Drosophila melanogaster: one gene and its partners. The protein of the gene in region 3 purifies or fractionates together with the protein of the main gene of each other region. This does not show direct contact. Each region holds a gene or a part of one and is shown on either strand. Other genes may lie near its edges.

Region 1 (5,486 bases), on a different chromosome or scaffold from region 3:
CTATAAACAAACCCACAACAATGGTGAAATACACCCGGGCTGGGCGAAATGAAATGCAAACTGGCCGAGGAACCTGCCCTTGACCGAGACCTCGAGCGCCCATTGGGTGGAGTGGAATTCGTTTAGCATACAACTGTTGCTTCGCTTGCATGTCTGCGGGTCCTTACACTTGACACAGTCCAAGTTAACACCTTCCGGAAAACCACCCCCAAGTAAGCCCCGGCGCAGTGATGGCACACTCACTTGATGGTACTCATTCACTTGCTGCCATATGGCACTTTATGATCTTTTGAGATGTTCAAAACAAACAGTGGAAAGTTTACGATTTAAAAATAAAAAGGTAAATTCCTCGAGAGTTCATCTACATTTAGTGCTTTAGCCAGCAGGAATTTGGAATTGTTTAAAGAAATGTATTATTACGGAAACTATAGTTAAAAAAATATTATGTTTTGCTAAGCAAACACTATTATTCATATGCAGTAATGGACAAGCCTTACGGCTATAATTAGAGAAGATTATATTTATAGATGACAAGATATTCCCATCACCACCACTGGGTGGCCCACCCCCTTTGGAATCTGGGCAGCCCCGCTTTATGCCGAGCACGTGGAGAGGGCGAGTCGCGTATCTTTCGCCCGTCGTATAAACGATTAGCGGCTCTCCCAGATTTGGACAGACTCTACCGGATCAGCATTCGTAATAGAGGAGCTCTAAAATTATACACTCTAGATAAGAGCTACGTGTTTGGAGGGTTCTCGCATCGATAAGGCGGCAAAAGTGCTGCTGGCGGATTTTCGACAAGGTTAACGATTTCGAAATGTAACGGTCGCGGATGATCGAAGTGTAATTCCCATTTGGCCAACGCAGTGATGTAATCGATTCCATTGTTATCTTCTTGAATTGTGTGCAAAACCGATTCACTGGCGGCCTTGAAGAGACTCGATTCTGTGCTGTCATGGCGACAGTTCTAAAATTTAATCAATTCCCACACAGATGCGTTGGCTTTTGTTCTTTTCACTCGCTTTTCCTGCCCCCTGCCCACTAGTTTTTTTTTCGATGTCGCATGCAGTGGAGCATCACGGAATCCCAATTAGGTTACTTACAGCACCACTCCGAAGAGAAATGGGCCCACCGGGTAGACGTCGCTGCTACCCTTCTTGCGGATGTCGTTCATCAGAACCACTCCGGACAGAAATTGCAGGGTAGTTATGGTGCCGGCTACCTTGGCGATTAGTTCGCTGTGTGGCGCCAAGAGATCCCCCAGTGCCTCCATGATTTCAATGACTCTCAGTTGATGCCTTTCAAACGGGTTATGTGGGAACGGGAGGGGGGCCGAGTGCCGCGCGAGTATAAACAAATGAACGAAAACAAAAACTAACGACCGACTGGCGGCTGCCGTAACAACAAACGAACAAATACTGAGCACCAACGGTGGGGCTGGCAACCTTTTATAATCGAGAATCCCCTAGAAATGGACGCGTCTCTCCGATTTTCCCCAAACGTTATCGCCCGCGAGGGCTTATCGGATACGAATTGAATTTCAAATTTCCGCGAAACGTTGCTGCATGGCAAAGCAAATGAGTTTTCTCTCTAGAGCAACAGGAGAGTATTCCTTAGAACTTATCAACATCTTCTTTCTTCTAGTATCACTGAATTAAAGCCAAACAATAGTTTAAACTAAGCAAATTCACTGATAACTTCGGTTTGACTTGACCAAACTGAAAGTCACTTGAGAACAATGATAGAAAGTGAGAAACTCAATTGAGATTAGGCTTCTTAATATATACATACATAGTCTCCTTACAAAAATCAATTTTATTCAAACTTATCCAACTACAGTCGTTAGCAATCATCCTCACACCTCCTCCTTCAGCACATGCTTCTTTTTCTCGCTGACGTAGGGCACCTTCTTGCTCTTCTTGGTGTGCTTGCGCACATTGGCCTCCTTGACCTGCTCCTTCTCCTTGACCGTGCGCATCTTCTTCTGTGCATTGAGCACGTGACGCGGCACCTGGCGATGGCGCGCGATGCGCTTGATCTGCGGATGAGCGGCATACTTTTGCTTCAGCGCCTCCTGGTAATTGAAATTGACGCGCTCACGTGGACGGATGACGCCCAGCTTTTCGGAGGCATTCGCCTTCCACATGCGGACGTTCATTTCGTCGGAGCCGGAGAAAACGTATCGATTATCGAGGGACCAGGCCACGCAGACCACATGCTGCATGCGTTTTGTGTGGTAAATATCCCGCGAGTGACTGTGGTGGGCATTGTAGATCCGAATGGTCTTGTCGTAGCTGGCCGAGACGAATTCCTTGCCAGTGGGCGAGTAGTCAACATCGGTGACAGCGGAAACATGGTCAAAGTGAACCTTCAGCGGCGTTTGCAGCTTGCGAGTGTCAAAGGTATAAAGGCTGTAAGAAATAAAGATTTTAGCAACACATCCTCTTCGTATGGCCGTTTTACTCACTTGCAATCCTCGTTGGCCACTGTGAAGTTGAACGCCTCCATGGGATTCCACGCGAGCTTGTTGCTCTTCATGGTTAGGACGACCTTCCTTAGTGGCTGCGCCTCTCTCTGATCGTACAGGATAATGCTGCGATCGCTGGCACAGCACGCCAGGATGCTTGTTTCCACGGGGTTATAGGATATGGTGTGAAGGGTATCGACGCCCCACTTCAATGTCTTCAAAGGATCGTTGTGCCTTTCGTCCCAAATGGCGCATACCTCGCCACAGGTGGCGAACTTGTTATCCCTGCGATTGTGCGAGATGCCGTGCAGTCCAAATTTACTCAGTATAGTGTTCACCGGCACCTCATCCTCGCCGACTTCCGGAGCCTCTGCTTTCCAAACCTTGATGGTTTTATCATCTCCCACGGTGAAAATGCGACCTCCGTTCTGGGTGTAAGCAATGCCGCGAACGAAACCGTCGTGGGCCACAAAGTTCCGAGAGCTGATACGATTCGCCAAGTCCCAAATGCGCACTTCGCCGTCATAGGCGCCGGTGGCCAAGGTGGAAAGTTGCTTGGGATGCTTTCCGAAGCAGGAGACTCCATCGCGATGCCCGCTCAAATTGCAGACGAAGGGTTTGGCAAATACTCGATCCAACTTGGTGGCATTCAGGGCACGCACGTATTCCCTGGGACCCTCCAAAGGATGCAGCGAAGGATCGTAGTTCCTGGGCACTGAAAGTGGCATTCTTATAATACTTTGGTCTTTCTTCGTATATGAACTTACTTTTGTGCTGTTGCAGTTTGGTTTCTCGGACATAGTTATCCGGATTGCGACTAATCATTTTCACCTTCATCCTGATTGCATTTATTAAGCTTTTCTGCGGCGTAAAATAAAATTAATCGTGAGTTTCGAACATAAACAACATGTGCGTGCTACAGTGTTGCCATACAGAGCGGCTGTCAGCTGATTGTGTTGAGTAGTGGGTGTGGTAACACTAATGCAAAACCAATAGGGTAACACTGAAATTTGAAATTTTGGAGGGAATTCTTCTGAGTGTTGTATGATCAATCAAATGCAACACAGTTCACGTTCATTTTATGCAAATGCATAATACTAAAAAATTTCTTATATTTGATTAATTGTACATCAACCTAGTACTGATAGCAACCAAAAACGGCAGCAATGCAGATAAAACTGCCACCATCAAAGGTGAAGGTTATGTAGTCATCGGACAGCTCATCCCAAATGGCGCGAGCTCCGTAGAAACATCCGGCTCCGGTCTGCTGGTAAAGCATTACGTTCACAACGTGCTTGAATCTTGGAGAAGAGCCGCGTCCCTTCATCTTAATGTTTATGTCATCGGCGACTTCGCGGGTCCATTTAAGGGCTTCCGATTGATTATAGGTCTTGTTTGCCAGCTTCTCCTTGACCACCTGGGCTATCATCAAGCGAATGTACGGCAATGGGAACTTCTTGCCGAATGCTGGTCCCATGTTGTAGTAGTTATAGATGGTGACATCAGATGCCGGCTTATCCTCATTCCCAGGCTCCCATTCTTCATCCGAGTCACTGTGGGACATTACCTCGGATCGGCTGTCTGCGCTGACCGCGGACGCTCGAAAGGACTCCTTTGCAGTCGACAAGGTTTTGGGTCTTTGTGTCGACATTTTTGCGATATTTTTATCTGTGTTTCGTTCAAATTCCAGATAAACTTCGATTGCAATAAGTTAAGAGAAATAATCAGACAGAACAAATTTTTCATGGCCATCTAGTTTTCCAAAGAAAACACAGTGATTGGTAAATAATAAGTTCAATTTTCGCTTTTTAACCTTTTTTGCAATTATAAAAAAATCTATTGTTTTGTTAGTTTTTTATTTCGCATAAACATATTTTTGTTATTTTTTTTTACACTTTCCATTGTCTAAATGACCCAATTTTTTCTAGTTAAAATATTTCAAAGTTAACCTAACGTTAAGTAGTAACCAAAAGTGAAGATTTAACGAGCTGAATGCCTGTAACGTCGAATACGAGGATGTCGATTGGAGAGATTCTGAATGTAGGTGTCACTACTCTGCTCTTGACTTGAGCGTTCCCTGGCCTTCGGTGTGAGCAAGTCATCGACTGGATTCTGGTTCTGACACTTTTCCATTTCCTCCTTTTTGCGCTGCTGCTGCTGAAGCTCGTGGACTTTTCGCAGGCAGCAGCAGTTCCTGAGCGCATCCATAAAGCACTCTAGATTCCTGCGAAAGATCTCCAGATTCTCCGGAGAAATGGGCGACTTCTCCGCATGACAACACTCATCGATGACCACCTGGGCATGGAATATACACTCGCTAGCCTGACCGAGTGTATTCTTTAGATTGAAGATTTGCTGTTTCTTCTTCAACTGCATTTGAATATAGCGAGTGCACAGCATCTCGAAACGGCGCTGTTCACTCCGGTACTCATCGAATAGCTCGTCGTATTTGGAGTGCAGCTGCTCCGTTTTGCTTTGAAGTACCTTGAGAGCCTTTTCCCTCTTGGCTAACTGCCGACGACTTTGGCGATGGGACACGGAGAGCTCAACGTAACTGAAAATGCGCCAGAATACTTAGTGCCTACATATGTATACCCTTTTCTAATATTGTTGAAAACTTACCGCTGTTGCATCAGCAGTGGACTGATGGAGTCGTACAGCTCACCAATGGAGTTCACATGGGAGCCACTGGGGCCCCTCTTCTCCGGATCGCTCTCACTCGAACTGGAGCTATCGATTCCCCGGAGCAACTGCACCAGTCGCTCGTTTCGCTTCCTTTCCGTGTCCAGTGAAAACACCAGTTCCTGAACCCGTTCTGTCTGCCGATCGAGGGCCATTCGGAGCTTGAACTCCTGCTGCCGATCCTCGTGAATTGTGTGCTCCAGTTCATTCACTAGTCGCAGTATCTGTTGGACGGTCTGCTGGTAGGGATTGGGCTCCTGGTTTTTGTTCAGGCTGGCATCAGTTGAGGCCAGATGATTTTCGCCCAGTGATATGGGCTCGTCCTCTTCGTCCTCCG
Region 2 (5,845 bases), on a different chromosome or scaffold from region 3:
TGGTTAGATAATGGTTTATGTAAACGATCCACTATGTTCAGCAGGGAATTTCCATAGAAAACTGGTGAAATATGAAGCCAAAGCCTACTTGGGATTCACATTTATTTTTAAAGGGAAATCCCTTCTTGCCTGCACTTTGTGCGTACGAATGTAGTTGATGTGAAAAGTATGGCCAGTGGAGTCGGCAATTATACGCGAATCTTGGACGGGGCTTCCCCAGGGTCCTTGACCTGGTTTTCCACCCAGTTTGTGCCCCTTTATGATGACAGGGGTTTGCTTTTTTTCGCACAAACGCACGCATTTCTATTGAGCAGCGGCCATTTTGGCAAACCCCCGACAGTAAAAAGTGGGTTTTGCATGGGATTCGTTGTCAGGCCAGTGGATGCTGGACAGGATTAGGTGATAGCTGGACAAGCATTTGCCCCCAAAGTTTCGAGAGCATGTGCTGGATGCCGCAAAAAATCAATCAGCAGACATTTGCAAAATGCCGCCGCCGACGGCGGAGGATGATGATGACGGTGCTGACTCCGCCGCCTGCAGCTCGATTGCACAATTTCGCGGAATTTGGACGCTGATTAGGTGGGGTCTATCTTGGGACCAGCCCGTGAAGCACTATACACACCTCACTATTGCAGTTTCTTTCACTTTTTTCTATCACAACACTTGCGAAAATGATTCTCCCTGTGTCGCCTGCTGCCCTCTCGCTCGCACTCTCGCGCACACGGCCTTCGCAGTGGATGCACGGCTGTTCCGCTGGCGTCCTTGGTGGGTGGCAGTGTCGGCGCTCCAAACTCCTCGGCGGCTCACGGTCGCGATCGTTGTTATTTCGCTAAATTACAGTTGGCAAATTACGAGGCGACGCAGAGCCGACTTTATCTTTGTTAGAAACTCGATAATTTGTATGTTTGTAGCCAGCTATCGGTCCGGGTCCGTCTCTAGGTGCTCGCGCTGTCCGCTCATCCTTAGCGAACTATCGATGTTCGGCTTCTGGCAACCGTTTTTTGCCTTTTCTAGCACTGTGGCAACTCGGAAGCGGATACCATAAAAATAATATTCAAGTATTGAAATCTAACTATTTCGTAAATGAAATAAAAAACAAGAATATTTACACCATGTATAATACACTTTGAATACCTCTCTGCTTCACCCACTTCGATAATTTAAGTGTAACACCCCAGATGTAAAATCTTTCAATATTTACTTTAAAGTTTAAACTAGTTTTGTATTTATAAAAAGTTTACAAGTTTTGGGATTACTTCGTCTCCGCTTCTTCCGCTAGCGCCTTGCGAGATTTGAATACGCGCACCGTGTTGTCGACACCACCAGATACAATGTACTTGGGATTGGACCAGTCGATGTCCAGGACCTTTTCACCGTGACCCAGAAGATCGTACAGTGGGGCCTTGGGACTCCTGCAGTCCCACAGCTTGTTCTGGTTGTCATAAGCGCCGGAGACAAATAGGAACTCCTCCGTGGTGGACCACATGACGGTCTGCACCCAGGCATTGTGTCCCAGATAGGTATTCCTTACCACTGATCCCTCTGAAAGATCCGAATTATATTGGTTAGGTGGAAGTTCCATTGTTGATATTGGAGTATTAGATCTTACGGTTTGTCCTAGGATCATAGAGCCGCAGATTCTTGTCCGCCGAAGCAGTCAGTATCAGCCGATTCAGCTTTGAGTAGCTCGCATCGAATATGGACTTGTTGGTGGATATTTCGGTCTTGATGCCCTCAAGACTCAGATCCCACACCTTGAGTGTGTGATCCCAGCTGCCAGTTAGCAGAGTGGTAGCATCCATCCACTGCACGGCTGATACGCTCTCACGATGTCCCTGCAGCGTAATTTTGGGGGTCTGAAAGGAATTGTAAAGCTGATTACAAGTCTAATTATAAATGGCAAGACTACTCACTCTCACACCGCTCTCTTTCATCCGCTTTGAGCTGCCCTCGACTGCATCGTCCAGCTCTGCTGACCACACCTTCAACATCGTGTCCCAAGAGCCCGTGGCAAATCTCAGACCATCCGGACTCACGCTGACACTGTCGACGCCTCGCTCGTGGCCCTTGCACACGGAGACACATTCCACCGAGTTGGAGCCCACGTTCCACTGCCACAGCATGGCGGTCTGATCCTGCGATGTGGACACAAAACGTCCCGTCTCCTCGTCCAGCGATATCCAGTCCACCGCCTTGATGGGCGCCGTGTGACCAGAAATAGTGAGAATGTGCTTGCCTTTGTTGGTCCACAAATTCAGGGTGTTGTCGTAGCACCCGGAGAGGATCCACTTTCCTCTAGCCTTCACCGCGGACACCCAGTCGTCGTGCAGCAGGCAATCCTGTGGCTCTGGCGCCGGGAACCGCTCCACATACTCGATCTCGATGGCGTCCTCGAAACTGATGGCTTTCTCGCGCAGGTGATCGCACAGCCGGCCACGCAGGTACTCATCGAACACCAGGAAGTCGAAGTCCGTGTCGGAAGAGCCATCTTTTTGACGCAACAGTGCGTTCACGAATGTGTTTAGCTCCACGGTGGTGACGGTGCCATCGATGGCATAGGGCACATCAGGCACGGCATAGCTGAAATAGGGTATCTTGATTAAAATCTTCTACTGATAGAGATTCTAGATGGACACTCACTGCTCCTGCTTGGTCTTCAGGTGCACCTGCACCTGCCCCTCGCCGTTATCCACATCCATCTCCTGGCCCACGTGCGTTTCTTTTTGGCTGGATTGGGATTGGGGTGTTCCCGCGTGTGTTTGCTACGGTTATGACTTAACTCCTGCAGGTGGTACAAGGTGTTGACCACTAAACTAGAGGTTCTTCCTTCGGGAGATCGTTGTGTAAAATTAAATTGAAAAGAAGCGTGTTTTTAAACGAACGATGGTAAATGCAACAAATACATGCAAAAACACTAAAAAACGCCGAAGCGCATGCCGGAATAAGAGTTATCGCATTGCTATCGCTGTGCTCTTATCGAAATGCCTTATCGTCTTGTTATCACCCGTTACTACTAAGCGGAGTTTTTAAATTCAAATTTTTTGGTGCGTTAAAACTATGCATAATTATAATAGCTTGCTTAAGTGTAATTTGCCGATTACTTTAACAAATAAAAAGATATTAATAGAGTGTATGGTATTTCTAATCACTTTGATTTTGTTTCTCTAAAATATTACTCATCAAATTCGAAAAACCGCTGATTGCATAACCACTGCTTTGTCGTTTCTCCTTTTTTTTATTACAAAAAAATCTTACAGAGATACGAGCCAATTCGCAATACTGATAATTAAATATTTTTTGCAAGCAAATCAGGCGCAGATGATTTGCTGTAATTTAGCCACTAACTGCTTCTCTTCCTTTTGATCGTCTTACGCAAAATGGAAAAATAAGAAACCAAAAAATGCACAGCCGCGGCGGCAATTTGTAAATGACTCTTCAATCTTCAAAGACTGGTAATTGTTAATATTTTACGTTCAGGCTATTAATATGAACCAGATAGCACCTGAAAGACCACTTTGCGGCCGAGTGTTCACTGGAAGGTTAAATGCCACTTGACATTTCTGAAGTGGCGCTTAACCTTCGCATCAAAATTGGACAAATGCCCAAGAAAATAAAAAATTTCCAATAAAAAATGTATTCACCTTAATGGGTCGATGGGGATATTAAGCTGGGAAGTAATAACACTTTTTTTCGGTACTACTACTTTGTGCCACCATTTTGGCTTTACAAAAAACCAGAAACGAAGCGAAATGAAAGAGTTAAAGCTTTCCAGATTTTCGGGGCTTCCAGCGGCGCAGCTCAGCTTATAAAACGGGCATTGCGCCTGCGCAGCCGAAACATTACAACAAACGACGCGCGCAAGGTAAGACCATAACCAAATCCAGTCCGCATCGAGCGCCACTGAATCCGTGCATCTCTTGCAGTTGAATCCCCTCGAGAAAACCCACAAAATGAAAGTGTTCGCGCTGTGTTCGATGCTCGCCCTGCTCCTGGCTGGTGCCCAATCCCTGCCCCAGAATCGCGAGGGTGCCGCCTACACGAACGAGGCGATCCGGCAGGCGCAGCAGACGCTTCTCATCCCCAAGGATGCCCAGATCCAGAACGTGCAGGAGGGCATCGAGCTGGGCGCGTACGAGCAGATACCCGGCAACCAGCGCATCAATCTCTTCGAGATCCTCGGCGACCAGGTGCCCTCCGAGGTGATAAACAACCTGCAGTCCCAGGTCGACCAGATCGGTCGCAACTAAGTCGTAGGACCACTTCCTTGGTTAGCTCATTGCATTTCGTCCTCATTGTTAAGTTTCTCACTAATAAAACGAAAACATTACAAGTATTTAATCGCAGCGTTTATTTACCACCCAAAACAATTGGAAAAAAAAATCCGAAAAAAATATTAAAAGCGAAAGTGATCCTCCCCGAAAACCAGTTGGTTCCTCTGCAAACGAACTCTCGAATCGAAACGAGTGATTTATTGGTTTGATTTGTGGCTTTTTCCTAACGATCTTCGCCGACTTTCTCCTCGCTGATCCCGCTGCGCATACGAATTAACAATAAAAGTCGGCACATTGCTATCGCATGGCATGGTATCCTATCCTCAACCTTGTTACGTAACCCGGGGATGGGAATGGCGATGGAGTCGCTGGTAACCCGAGTGGTTGCCCCGCCGGCAACTTTTGTGCTGCGGTCGTGATGCAACAGTTGTCGTCGTGATTGTTTTCCTCGGACTTTTATTTATTTTTTTTTGTATTTTGTATTTTGTTGCTTTTTGCTGGGCTTCGGTTTGTTTATTTAATTTCTGGTAATTGCCGCCACATGCACTTGCATGTGTAATGAGTTGTACGTGGAGGGGGCGTGGCATGCCCGCAGGTACAGAGGGGCTGCTTGCATAACATCTGGGTGGGTCCGATGATCGTAGGGTATTTTATAGGGCCCTGATTTTTGCATCATTTGTGGTAATAAATATTCCCAAATATGATATGAACCACTTAAAACTTTTATCTTGTGTGTTTAGAATTACCTCATTTTTATTTCGTACTTCATACATTGTTAAATGAGCTTCAATCTAAATTTACGCTAGTTAAAGTATTTTCATAATATATTTTAATTATCTCAAAAATTCTGTGTGGTATGTGTGTGAGTGATAGTGTGCACGATCATCGCCTAAATAAATTATGTTCATATAGGTAATTAATTATTTATTATACTCGTACGTACTAACTAAAGAATGACTGCGTTTTCATTTTGACACTTTTCTCCGCTCGTCAGCTTTGAAATTCACTCGAGCTTTTGATTTTCCTTTCTAGGAAAATCCAACGATAATTATCAAGACTCAATGTCAAAGTAAAATTAGTTTAAATTGTATATAAATTATGGTTAAAGTAGGAGTAAATTGCTTTAAATTAAAACTTTGCCATATTCAGTCTAAACTTAAAAGCTTTTCAATTCAAAGAGGACTACACAGTTGGCCATTGCATTAAACCATTTCTCAAAATCATTTGCATTCGTTATGAAATAAATTACAAATTAAATAAAATCATGATGGGATAAAACAAGTTAAATAATTTCTCCTTCGTTTATGTTGCGACTTATTCGATGATTTTCAAATGTGGGGGACAATGGTTGATTTTGTTTTCAGTGCACTTAGCTCAGTACGTATAAATTAGAAGTATAACTAAGCAATATGGATTGCCAGATAATGGAAACATTTCGTTATTGCATTTGGGGAGCCCAGCTTTGCTAATCTGCTAATCATACATTAGTTAGTTAATGATTACGTTCGTAAAGTTGATAAATTCAAAGGTCGTTCTATGCAGTCTATGGAAATGATAATGGAATCTTCTTCCCC
Region 3 (5,418 bases):
GTGTACGCATACTGCATGTCGATGGGCGCGTTCGCCGAAATATTGGCATAGTCAATCTTTTATTTTGTAATGAAACTATTAAATTAAAATTGACAGTCATAATACTTTCAAAGGTACATTTTTTTTAATCAATTAAAAGGTAAATTGGGCAAATTATTTTGCTTTATTAAAATGTAAAGAAATAGTTGCAATAAAAAAACTAAATTCATAATCGTTTTCAAAGTCACTGAAAATTTTACTGCTGAACTCACGCAGATTAAATAATCATATCTGGCAACACTGCAAACTGGCTGAGTAGTCTGGCAACGCAGACATATTGGTGGTAAAAATGTTGAAGAACATCTACGTAACGCCGTTAAATTTGCTTAAATCGGCCACCAGCCTGCAGCAGCAAGTGCGGGTAAGTGCTCTCCTGGATTAGGGAAGCGATCCCCATTCACCACCAATTTGCTTCCAGACCACGTTCGTCCTGAAGCGCAAATATGACCCGCCGCTGCACAAAACCAACGAGAAACCCCGCCGGATGAGGGCCAAGAACTTCATCTACGAGCTCGTGGACGACACGCTGGTCAAAAAGCGGCCCAACATCGAGGTGGTGCTAAAGACCTTCGTCGAGGGCGTTGGCGACAAGGGCGACGTGGTGTCAATGAAGCCGCACTTTGTCTACAATAAGCTCCTGCTGCCGGGTTTGGCCGCGTACAATACGCCGGAGAATGTGGCCAAGTACGCCAAGACAGAGGCTGAAAAATCGACTGTTAAACACAGCTCCCCCTACGCCCAGCGCACGGTCAACATGCTGGAGACCATTGTGCTGGCGGTGGTCATGAACAAGGATGAGCCATGGGTGCTCGAGCCCTGGCACATCAAGGCCTCGCTGCGCAAGACTGGGTTCTATTGTCGCGAGGAGTGCATTACCCTGCCCAAGGAGCGCATCGAGGGACCCGACCTGAAGAAGGAGAACAAGGACTTCTACTGCACTGTGACCATAAACAAGCTGGAACAGGCGCGACTCAAGTGTCGTCTGCACCACTGGAGCACAGATCCCAGCGAACGGCTGCCTTACGTACTCGAGCACTGGAAACTCCAGTCTGAGCCCCTGCTGGATGTATGTTCACCCGAAAAAACCCCTTAGAGACCCCATACCAAATACATGCGATTGTTACAAAACTGTTGATTTATGAACAGCCGGAAAACAGAGTTTATTTAACATTTTTATCAAGTTGTACGACGTGGATACTTACTTAGGATTACAAGTCTATATGATGTTAATATAGTGCACTAATGCACAGCTTTCAGTTCCACTTCGAAGACGAGAGTGGAGTTCGGTCCGATCTTCGGTGGAGCTCCCCGTGCGCCGTACGCCATGTGCGGGGGGCAGGTAATGACTCGCTTGCCGCCCACCTTCATGCCGGCGACTCCCACGTCCCAGCCCTTGATGACCTCTCCGCCGCCCAGGGCGAACTTAAATGGTTTTCCCTTCAGGAGGCTGTCGAAGGTCTTGTTGTTCGACTGCAGGCGGCCGATGTAGTAAACAGATACGCGTTTGCCCTGCTTGGCTTCTTCGCCTTTGCCGACGACCTGATCCACAATCTTCACGCCTCCGGTGATAGTACGTGGATCCTTAGAAGCTGGTTGCTGCTTGGCTGGCTCCTTGGCCTTGGGTTGTTCCTTCTTGGCCTCTGGCTTCTCCTTCTTCTTTTGCTGCTGCTTGGCCTCCTCCTTCTTGGCCACACCGTTCTGCTCCTTGCCAGATTTCTTGGCGCTAGCGCCAGGAGAGAGCTTGGCAACCTTGGCCTTTGGCTGTTCCTCTTCAGCTTCGGAGTCGTCGCTGTCCTGTTCATCCTCCTCGCCACTCTCCTCGTTATCCTCATCAACATCGTCGTCATCTTCCTCCTCACCATTTTCGAGGAAGGACTCGTATTCCTCGATTATCTGGCTATCGTCATCAGTATCCTCCTCGTCCTCCTCGCCGCTCTCATTCTCATCCTCATCATCTTCAGACTTTTTGCTATTCTTGATCGCCTTGGAGTTCAGCAAATTCTCGATCGTCATTTGATCGTCATCCTCATCATCTTCGGAATCAATGTCGTGCAAGTAGCCCAACAGAGAAACGCTGGCGTCGCCTGTGAAACGAACGAAAGCGTCAGAAACGGATAAACATGCGAACATAGTGGACATAAAAGGTCTTACCGGCGGTGTAGAACATGATGCGATCGCCCTTGCTGAAGTTCAGGTCGAGCGCAACCTGTGGAATGGCCTTGGTCACGGTGGCCACGATGTACTCCTGCTTCTCGGCAGCGAGGTACAACTTGGCCTCCTGGCCCTTGTCGAGTGCCACGCCCGAGATGTGGAACGACTTGATGATCGTCTGCGAGTACTTGCGCTCAGGCTTCATGTTCAAACCTGGAAGAGGACACAGTTGGTCAAAAACATGGTTTACTTTACATCGGCGTGCAAATGGCGCCGCTCCACGCTGCCGGTAAATCGAGCGGCAAGCACGTGGTGGCAATAAAAGCGCGGTCGGAGCACCCAAGAGCTCGTTGGCACAACCAGCCCGGAGGGGGCAAGTGAGATCAGTTCGACTTACCCCAAAACATCGACATCTTGCAGAATTGTAGGCTACTCTTAACGGAAAATGCAATATAAAATAGGAGAAATTGAGTTCGCTAAAACGAAACGGAACCACAGACGCTAGTGATGTGATGTGCCGCCAATGCGCCGTATTTATCGATTATCTTTCTCTTATCGAAATTAGCGGTGCGCAGCCATATAAGCATAAGCACATCGTAGACGCCAACCGCCAGCAAAAATGTGCTAATTATGGCCACGTGTCCACGCACCCAGGCGAATGGTAAAAGTCGTGTTGTATTTGTGGCGAAAAAAATTTGTGTCGATTGGATTGGGGCCCCGCCTTGTTAGAATTTAACCATTTCGCGCTGCTGGAGCATGATAAGCAGCCCAGCATGACGGAGAAGATTACGCTAGCCGACGCGCTGTCCAACGTGGAGGTGTTGGACGAGCTATCCCTGCCGGACGAGCAGCCCTGCATCGAGGCGCAGCCCTGCTCGATTATCTACAAGGCAAACTTCGATACGAATTTCGAGGATCGCAATGGATTTGTCACGGGTATCGCCAAGTACATCGAGGAGGCCACCACCCATGCCAACTTGGTGAGTTAGCGTATCCGGCTTATCGCATTAGCATTACTCACAGCTCTGAACCCCTTCTCTCCGCCCGCAGAATGTGCTCCTGGACGAGGGGCAGAAACACGCAGTAATGCTCTACACCTGGCGCTGCTGCTCGCGCGCCATTCCGCAGCCCAAGTCCAATGAGCAGCCGAATCGCGTGGAGATCTACGAGAAGACGGTCGAGGTGCTAGCCCCGGAGGTGAACAAGCTGCTCAACTTCATGTACTTCCAACGCAAGGCCATCGAGGCCTTCTCCGGCGAGGTGAAGCGCTTGTGCCACGCCGAGAAGCGCAAGGACTTCGTGTCCGAGGCGTACCTATTGACGCTAGGCAAGTTTATCAACATGTTTGCCGTGCTGGACGAGCTGAAGAACATGAAGTCCAGCGTGAAGAACGATTACTCCACCTACAGGCGAGCTGCGCAGTTCCTCAAAGTGATGTCGGACTCGCACACCTTGCAGGAGTCGCAGAATCTGTCCATGTTCCTGGCCACGCAGAACAAGATTCGCGACACGGTCAAGGACACGCTGGAGAAGATCGTGGGCTACGAGGATCTGCTCTCAGATGTGGTCAACATTTGCGTGCATATGTTCGAGACAAAGATGTACTTGACCCCTGAGGAGAAGCACATGCTGGTAAAAGTTATGGGCTTTGGCCTGTTCCTTATGGACAGCGATGCGTGCAATATCAACAAACTTGATCAAAAGAAGAAGATACGGCTGGATCGCATCGATCGCATCTTTAAGAACCTGGAAGTGGTGCCCCTCTTCGGCGACATGCAGATTGCTCCCTTCAACTACATAAAGCGCAGCAAGCACTTCGATTCCAGCAAGTGGCCGCTGTCCAGCTCAAACGCCATCAGCCCACAGGCGGATCTAATGGTGCATTTGCCGCAGATACGCGAGGATCACGTCAAGTACATTTCGGAGCTGGCGCGATACACAAACGAGGTGACCACCACCGTCAAGGAGAATCCCTCTGATGCCGAGAACCGGATTACGGCCGACCTGGCTCTGCGCGGCCTTCAATTGCTGTCCGAGTGGACCAGTGTGGTCACCGAGTTGTACTCCTGGAAGCTCCTGCATCCGACTGATCATCACCAGAACAAGGAGTGCCCCGTGGAGGCTGAGGAGTACGAGCGGGCCACCCGCTACAATTACACCTCGGAAGAGAAGTTCGCGCTGATCGAGGTCATCGCCATGATAAAGGGACTGCAGGTGCTAATGGCGCGCATTGAAACCGTATTGTGCGAGGCTATCCGGCGTAACATCTATTCCGAGCTGCAGGACTTCGTGCAGCTTTCGCTTCGTGAACCGCTGCGAAAGGCCGTAAAAAATAAGAAGGATCTTATCCGGAGCATCATCATGTCGGTGCGAGAGACATCGGCGGACTGGCAAAAGGGCTATGAGCCCACCGACGATCCAGTGGCCAAGGGCAAGAAGGATCCCGACGGCGGCTTCCGCATCCAGGTGCCTCGCCTCAATGTGGGACCTTCCTCCACTCAGCTATACATGGTGCGCACCATGCTGGAGTCTCTGATTGCCGACAAAAGCGGCGGCAAGCGCACTTTGCGCAAGGACATCGACGGAAACTGTTTGCTGCAGATCGACACGTTCCACAAGACATCGTTCTACTGGAGCTACTTGCTCAACTTCAGCGACACGCTTCAGAAGTGCTGCGATCTCTCGCAGCTGTGGTATCGCGAGTTCTACTTGGAGATGACCATGGGTCGTAAGGTTAACAAGTGCTTGGTGCGGCATCAGCACAACGAGGAGTGCAAGGATCTGATCACCATGGAGAAGCGCATTCAGTTTCCGATTGAAATGTCCATGCCCTGGATCCTAACCGATCACATTCTGCAAACGAAGGAGCCCTCAATGATGGAGTAAGTAAATGGCGAATAGGTGAAATGATCTGAACTAACTAAGTGCCTCACACAGATTTGTCTTGTATCCCCTGGACTTGTACAACGACTCGGCGTACTACGCACTCACTGTCTTCCGAAAGCAGTTCCTGTACGACGAAGTGGAGGCCGAAGTCAATCTGTGCTTCGATCAGTTTGTCTACAAGCTGAGCGAGCAGATCTTTGCCCATTACAAGCAATTGGCGGGCAGCATCTTCTTGGACAAGCGATTCCGTTTGGAGTGCGAGGTACTCGGTTTCAACTTCCAGTCGTATCCCCGCAATAATCGTTATGAGACCTTGTTAAAACAACGACATGTCCAACTTTT
Region 4 (6,794 bases), on a different chromosome or scaffold from region 3:
CTTCGACGTGGCGCTGCGCTTCCTGCACGAGTGCCCGTGGGAGCGCCTGGAGGAGATGCGCAAGCGCATCCCGAACATTCCCTTCCAGATGCTGTTGCGCGGAGCCAACGCCGTCGGCTACACCAGCTATCCGGACAACGTGGTCTACAAGTTCTGTGAGCTGGCTGTGCAGACCGGCATGGACATCTTCAGGGTGTTCGACTCGCTCAACTACCTGCCCAACCTGATCCTCGGCATGGAAGCCGCTGGAAAGGCGGGCGGCGTGGTGGAGGCTGCCATCTCCTATACCGGAGACGTCAGCGATCCCAAGCGCACCAAGTATGATCTGAAATACTACACTAACCTTGCCGATGAGCTGGTCAAGGCGGGCACCCACGTGCTCTGCATAAAGGATATGGCTGGTCTGCTCAAGCCCGAATCCGCCAGGTGAGTCTGAAGGGGTTTTTAATTTTTTTCTGTTGTGTACTATTTTGTTTCCATCCCCTGAAAGGCTTCTGATCACAGCCATTCGTGACAAGCACCCCGACATCCCAATCCATATCCACACCCACGACACCTCTGGAGCGGGAGTGGCCTCCATGCTGGCATGCGCCAATGCCGGAGCCGATGTGGTGGACGTGGCCGTCGACTCCATGAGCGGCATGACTTCCCAGCCGAGCATGGGTGCCGTAGTGGCCTCCCTGCAAGGCACTCCGCTGGACACGAACTTGGATCTGCGCACGGTGTCGGAGTACTCCGCCTACTGGGAGCAGACCCGCACCCTGTACGCTCCCTTCGAGTGCACCACAACAATGCGGTCGGGCAACGCCGATGTCTACCTCAACGAGATTCCCGGCGGCCAGTACACCAACCTGCAGTTCCAGGCCTTCTCGCTGGGTCTGGGCGACTTCTTCGAGGACGTTAAGAAGGCCTACCGTGAGGCCAACCTGTTGTTGGGTGACATTATCAAGGTGACGCCCTCGTCGAAGGTGGTAGGTGATCTTGCCCAGTTCATGGTGCAGAATGACCTGACCGCCGATCAAGTGCTGGAGCGGGCCGAGGAGCTGTCGTTCCCCAAGTCGGTGGTGGAGTACTTGCAGGGCTCTATTGGCATTCCGCACGGCGGATTCCCCGAGCCGCTGCGTTCGCGAGTGCTCAAGGACATGCCCCGCATCGAGGGACGTCCGGGAGCCGAACTGAAGGACTTGGACTTTGACAAGCTGAAGAAGGAACTGCAGGAGTCTCACACCTGCGTCACCAACCGTGATGTCATGTCAGCTGCCCTCTACCCGCAGGTGACGAATGATTTCCTAAACTTCCGCGAAAAGTACGGACCCGTCGACAAGCTGGACACTCGCATCTTCCTCACGGGTCCCAAGGTGGGCGAGGAGTTCGACGTACCTCTGGAGCGCGGTAAGACGCTGAGCGTGAAAGCTCTGGCTGTGTCCGCCGATCTCAAGCCCAACGGTATCCGCGAGGTATTCTTTGAGTTGAATGGCCAGCTGCGCGCGGTCCACATCCTGGACAAGGAAGCCGTTAAGGTAGGTTCAGTCAGCAGTCATCGGTGATCTTTAGGCAATGGAATCATTTGCTTGCTCTTCTTCCGCAGGAGATCCATGTCCATCCCAAAGCGAACAAGTCGAACAAGAGCGAGGTGGGCGCCCCCATGCCCGGAACTGTCATCGATATCCGCGTGAAGGTTGGCGACAAAGTGGAGAAGGGTCAGCCTCTGGTCGTGCTCTCGGCCATGAAGATGGAGATGGTGGTGCAGTCGCCATTGGCGGGCGTTGTCAAGAAGCTGGAAATTGCCAACGGAACGAAGCTGGAGGGCGAGGACCTCATTATGATTATCGAATAGACAGTGCCACCGGATCAAAATGTCCATTGTCTAAGCTGCCACCGCACACACCCAATGTAAAATTAAGTGAAAACAGTGATAATCTTAGGGACTCTGTCAGTTCGATTGATCATAAAACTGTCCAAAGTCGCCTGTGTCTATTTTTATATGAATCAAAATCATTCATGTTTCCGTGTTTCCAGGATCAATCGACCATGAGTAACTGGTCAAATTTTTTAGCTGTCCCTGCCAAAATATATCGGATTGCATAAGTTCGTGCCCAAGTATATTTGTAAATTTGTCGTAGGGCTTTTCCCGCAAGTCATTTGAATCAAATTTGTACGATTATGGAATTTTTAATTCGCAAACACCTGTGTCGAGATTCCCCCTCTAGTAAATACGTAAGTGGTTATTAATGTTATATTAACTATTGTGTAATAAACGTTATACAAAATAAAAAGTAACGCCCTGGTTTTTGTAGTGTGAAATTGGTGATTAAACATCTCGAAACAAATATGTAATGTATGGTTATCTACTTTATTTTTTTCCTAAAATTAATTAAACTGAATTAAGTTAACAATCATGAATGAAACGGCTCCGAAGCTAAAGCCTACATGCACTTGACAATGAACTCTAGGAAAGCCAGATCCTTGTTCAGCTCGGTGACCCGCTTAAAGTGTCTCTGGACGTACGGAGTGAGTACCTCGACCATGTTGCCATTGTAGTAGAACCTCGCCTTGGGATCCAGAAGAGCATCTCCGATCAAGTACTTGAGGATCATGTTGCCCGCCTGCGAATGGCGCGAGTTGGTGGTCCATGCCTTGACGTGCTGCAGCAGCGCAACCCGCTGGTCAACGTTCAACTGGTCAACCAATTGCCGGAGACCGGGCTCATCTCGCTTGCGGACAAAGTGGTTGATAATATCGAAACTGGCTTTGGGCTTGTCCAGGTTCAGAGCCAACACGAAGGCCTTGTGAAGCTGCTTCTGGGCGTGCAGAAGGGAATGTAGGGTCTGCTCCTGCTCCAATGCGGCCTGCCGCTTGTCCAGCGCTTCGTTTCGCGTCACCTGAGTGACATCACCGAAGCGAATCAGCTTGGAGTCCGCGCCGCCGGTGTAAAAGAACCGATTGCTCCTGGCGGATACGGCCAGCGCCCAAACCCTATCGTTGTGCTCGTCCAGGGACTGCAGACATGTGTTGGTCTTGATATTCCACAGCTTAAGAAGGCCATCCGAAGCAGCGGAGATAATGAACTTGCCGTGATCCAGGAACTCGGCTCTCAGTATGGTGCACTCCTGATCGAAACGTTTTATGCACGAAAAATTGCTGATGGACCAGATGCGGAGAGTACAGTCCGACGATGAGGTGAGCACGATCTGATCCACCGGAGAGAAGCGCACACTCCACACACCGCGGGTGTGTCCCCGCAACACTCCTTGCAGCGTGTTGGACTCCGCCAGCCACACCTTAGCCGTCTTGTCTTGCGACGCGGTAGCAATAAGCTTGTTATTCGGAGCATATGCAACGCAGTTCACCTCCTTGTCGTGGGAAAGCGCTGCGTAGCGCAGGTTGAAAGAGTACGAGTTGCGATCCTCCTTACTTCTGACGAGCTGCCATACCTTCATGCTGCCATCTTGGCTCACGGATGCAAAGCCAGTAGCTCCGTTGTGCGTCATGGCCACGCAACCGATAGTGGACGTGTGGCAGTTGGCCTGTTGAGTCAGAGCCTCAAGCGAGCAATCTTTGTCGTGCTGAAGCCTCCAAAGCCGAACGCTGCAGTCCTTTCCCACCGAAATCAGCAGATTTTGGGATGCAGCAAGGGACATTACCGTATCCGAGTGACCCACGATCAGCTTGCAATTCATGTCGTGTTCCGTGTCGTACAGCTTGAAGTGCTTGCTGTTGGTGGCAACGGCCAGGTAGCGATCGTGTTCGCCCATAAAGCACATGTCTAGGATCTCGTCGTTGTAACCCACCAAGTGTTTAATGGGTTCCAGGGTTTCAACGTCGTAGACCAAAATATTCTGCTCTGTAGTGACCAGGGCCAGCTGTTTTAGCTCGCTGCAGTGCAGCAGTCTACTAATTTGGAAATCAGATTGAGAAAGAATATCCCTGATCTTCCAAGATTTAGGGTCGACCTGTTGCAGCTTGCCCGATCCGCTCGCCACGATTATCAGTTGTCCCTCGTCTGCGTACACGACTCCCTCAAGCTCATCGTACAAGGGAAGAACCTTCAACTGCTTGCTTTCCAACTGCTCCTGCAATTGCCACACGATCATAACCTTGTCCCGGCTTACAGTCACGATTTCATTGCAGTCGGACGCGTTGCTCTTAAAGCTCAAGCCGGTGACTTGCGACAGGTGACCTCGCATCTTGTGCACAAGTGTCTTCGTCTCGTAGTTCCAGGCATAGACAGTGTTATCCGAACCTCCGGCGTAGATCTCTTTGCGCAGCACATTGGGATGAAAGACGAGGAGCCAAGCGGGACCAGGGAAATCCTTGAGGGCACCCAGACAGCTGTTGTTCGAGTAGTCCCACAGCCTCAGTGTGGCATCTGCACCGCCGCTGGTGCAGATAAGCCTGCCGCAGGGACTAAACTCAACTCGGATGACTGGTCCCTTGTGCTGCGCCTTCCACAGCTTCACCAGCTTCCCAGTGTCCAGCTGCCACAGCCTAAGCAGGCCACTTCGATGGGCAGTAACCAGATGCTCCTGTGACAGCCCGAAGCAAGTAATCGTATCCTCCTCCACATCGATATTGTCCAGCTCCGCCGGCCTCTTGTTATCCGCCGACGGGGAAGACAAGCCGTAGCTATTTAGGATTTGGGAGGTCTGCACATCCACCTGGTTTACAGCTGAGCCATTGAGGCAGTAAAGATGATGGCCATTCGGGCTCCAGGCGATGTCGCCGCCGGCGTAGAAGTTCGTGTAGCGGGCCTCCGCCGCATAGCTGGATTTTAAAATTGTTGTAGTCTTGCAATCATCAGGTAATTATTAAGTTTATGTTACCTTTTCTCGCTGATACCCGCCAGCATGATTTTCGTTGTTTATAAATACAAAAACCGCGTGCGCCGCGGATCAGAACATGAACGGAACTAGTTCGAAATGTTACTTTACAGAGCATGTAAGGGGATATTCGAAATGTATAAGTAGAAAAGAAAAGAATGATATTAACTTCAACTGTGCTAAATAAATAAAGTACCATGAATTGGTGATTTATTTTTAATCATTCGAATTTTATCTGAAAAAATCGCGATTGGTATACGATTGGTTTTTATTGACGATAGTCGTTCCGAAACTATCGAACCTCCTTGACCGATAGGCCCCTTTGTTTTGTCCACCACTAGCCAAGTAAAAGCCGTCAAATCATCGTCGCATTCGACCCAAGGAATTAAACTAATTTTTGCGTTTGAATTGTTTAAATTTTCACAAAGTCTTCGCTATGAGTACTATTGGCACTGGAGTAAGTGGTCAGCGAACTACATATCTGCAGATCCCTAACGTCACCCTCTCGCTTCCAGTACGACTTGTCGGCCTCGCAGTTTTCGCCTGATGGCCGCGTTTTCCAGATCGACTACGCCTCAAAGGCGGTGGAGAAGAGCGGCACCGTAATCGGGATTCGGGGCAAGGACGCCGTGGTGCTGGCCGTGGAGAAGATCATCACCAGTAAACTGTACGAACCAGACGCCGGCGGACGCATCTTCACCATCGAAAAGAACATCGGAATGGCGGTGGCCGGCTTGGTGGCCGATGGAAACTTTGTGGCTGACATTGCGCGTCAGGAGGCAGCCAACTACAGACAGCAATTTGAGCAGGCTATCCCGCTTAAACACCTGTGCCACCGAGTCGCCGGCTACGTTCACGCCTACACTCTGTACAGTGCCGTCCGCCCCTTCGGACTTTCCATCATTCTCGCCTCCTGGGACGAAGTAGAGGGGCCACAGCTCTACAAGATCGAGCCGTCCGGCTCCTCCTTCGGTTACTTCGCCTGCGCCAGCGGCAAGGCCAAGCAGCTGGCCAAGACTGAGATGGAGAAGCTCAAGATGGATATGAGGACCGACGAATTGGTGGAGAGCGCTGGTGAAATGTACGTTTACAGCAAAAAAAAGGGACTGTTTCAAAAATCGGGCGGGCTTTATCCTAGTTCCGAGTGGAAACTTACTTGCTCTGACAATAGGAAGCATTTTTGGGACATCTATTGCACTTAGAATCTAGGTTTTTATTCATAATTAACATATCTATCCTATGTCTTAGCATCTACAAAGTCCATGACGAGTTGAAGGACAAGGACTTCCGCTTCGAAATGGGTTTGGTGGGCAGGGTAACCGGTGGCCTACATCTCATAAATCCCTCAGAACTGACGGAGAAGGCGAGGAAAGCCGGCGATGCGGCCAACAAGGACGAAGACAGCGACAATGAGACGCACTAGTTCGTTTGTGTGCCAGTGAATCTAATTCTGGGCCTCATACATAATGTTAATTTTATATTTCCCTAAAGCGCAAAATGAATAAACAAAATCGGGTGAAATTTAAGGTTTTTATATTTTTATACTCTCATTCTTTAATAGTTATCGTTCGATATAAATATATTGGCTCGCTGGTTATCGGATCTGGTTCCTTTTGAATGTGCCTGCAGCTATTAAACCTCGATTGCTACAAAGAAAAACCTTATCGCTCACAGCTGATGCATTTCGCGCCATTTGTTGTACTTTATTTTGGTTTTAACGACGCACGACTGGAATTTCAGTCTATTGTTAATAACTACAATGACTACCTTAATAGAACAGTTAATTACGAAAATGGGCCTAAGGGAGGAGCCAAACGTGCTAGAGTAAGCGATAAATAAATAGTTTTAAAGGTTTACCCAGTAAGATCGAATCCTTTCAGGAAAACCACCGAACTAGTACGCCTCCTGGAACTGCGCTCCACGAATGTCCCTCTGCAGATCAACGAGTACGGAAAGATAGTGCTGTGTGCGGAT

Evidence for each region.
Region 1: the proteins of Fkbp39 (region 3) and CG7275 purify together in Drosophila melanogaster (affinity purification with mass spectrometry, with the first as the bait; one large-scale study listed by BioGRID). This does not show direct contact.
Region 2: the proteins of Fkbp39 (region 3) and CG6724 purify together in Drosophila melanogaster (affinity purification with mass spectrometry, with the first as the bait; one large-scale study listed by BioGRID). This does not show direct contact.
Region 4: the proteins of Fkbp39 (region 3) and CG1671 purify together in Drosophila melanogaster (affinity purification with mass spectrometry, with the first as the bait; one large-scale study listed by BioGRID). This does not show direct contact.

Annotation. Positions count from the first base shown.
Region 1 is NT_037436.4:15,496,878-15,502,363, reverse strand, and holds CG7275 (uncharacterized protein), read right to left. Parts: upstream 3,406-5,486; 5' UTR 3,305-3,405; coding exon 3,235-3,304; intron 3,183-3,234; coding exon 2,468-3,182; intron 2,412-2,467; coding exon 1,856-2,411; 3' UTR 1,803-1,855; downstream 1-1,802. Other genes in the region: CG7272 (uncharacterized protein), read right to left, coding at 1,104-1,273; CG7276 (uncharacterized protein), read right to left, coding at 3,603-4,118; CG13455 (uncharacterized protein), read right to left, coding at 4,448-5,021, 5,090-5,486.
Region 2 is NT_033779.5:10,767,035-10,772,879, forward strand, and holds CG6724 (uncharacterized protein), read right to left. Parts: upstream 2,919-5,845; 5' UTR 2,700-2,918; coding exon 2,641-2,699; intron 2,581-2,640; coding exon 1,914-2,580; intron 1,857-1,913; coding exon 1,610-1,856; intron 1,543-1,609; coding exon 1,253-1,542; 3' UTR 1,200-1,252; downstream 1-1,199. Other genes in the region: CG17127 (uncharacterized protein), read left to right, coding at 3,951-4,247.
Region 3 is NT_033777.3:15,330,426-15,335,843, forward strand, and holds Fkbp39 (FK506-binding protein 39kD), read right to left. Parts: upstream 2,709-5,418; 5' UTR 2,604-2,708; coding exon 2,588-2,603; intron 2,404-2,587; coding exon 2,191-2,403; intron 2,124-2,190; coding exon 1,279-2,123; 3' UTR 1,159-1,278; downstream 1-1,158. Other genes in the region: mRpL9 (mitochondrial ribosomal protein L9), read left to right, coding at 329-400, 458-1,132; Cyfip (cytoplasmic FMR1 interacting protein), read left to right, coding at 2,964-3,170, 3,241-5,072, 5,128-5,418. UniProt on the Drosophila melanogaster protein: PPIases accelerate the folding of proteins. May function in a signal transduction cascade during early development.
Region 4 is NT_033778.4:9,846,180-9,852,973, reverse strand, and holds CG1671 (uncharacterized protein), read right to left. Parts: upstream 4,914-6,794; 5' UTR 4,850-4,913; coding exon 4,824-4,849; intron 4,765-4,823; coding exon 2,427-4,764; 3' UTR 2,332-2,426; downstream 1-2,331. Other genes in the region: PCB (pyruvate carboxylase), read left to right, coding at 1-426, 491-1,520, 1,589-1,837; Prosalpha7 (proteasome alpha7 subunit), read left to right, coding at 5,257-5,277, 5,336-5,901, 6,069-6,243; Orc6 (origin recognition complex subunit 6), read left to right, coding at 6,580-6,644, 6,701-6,794.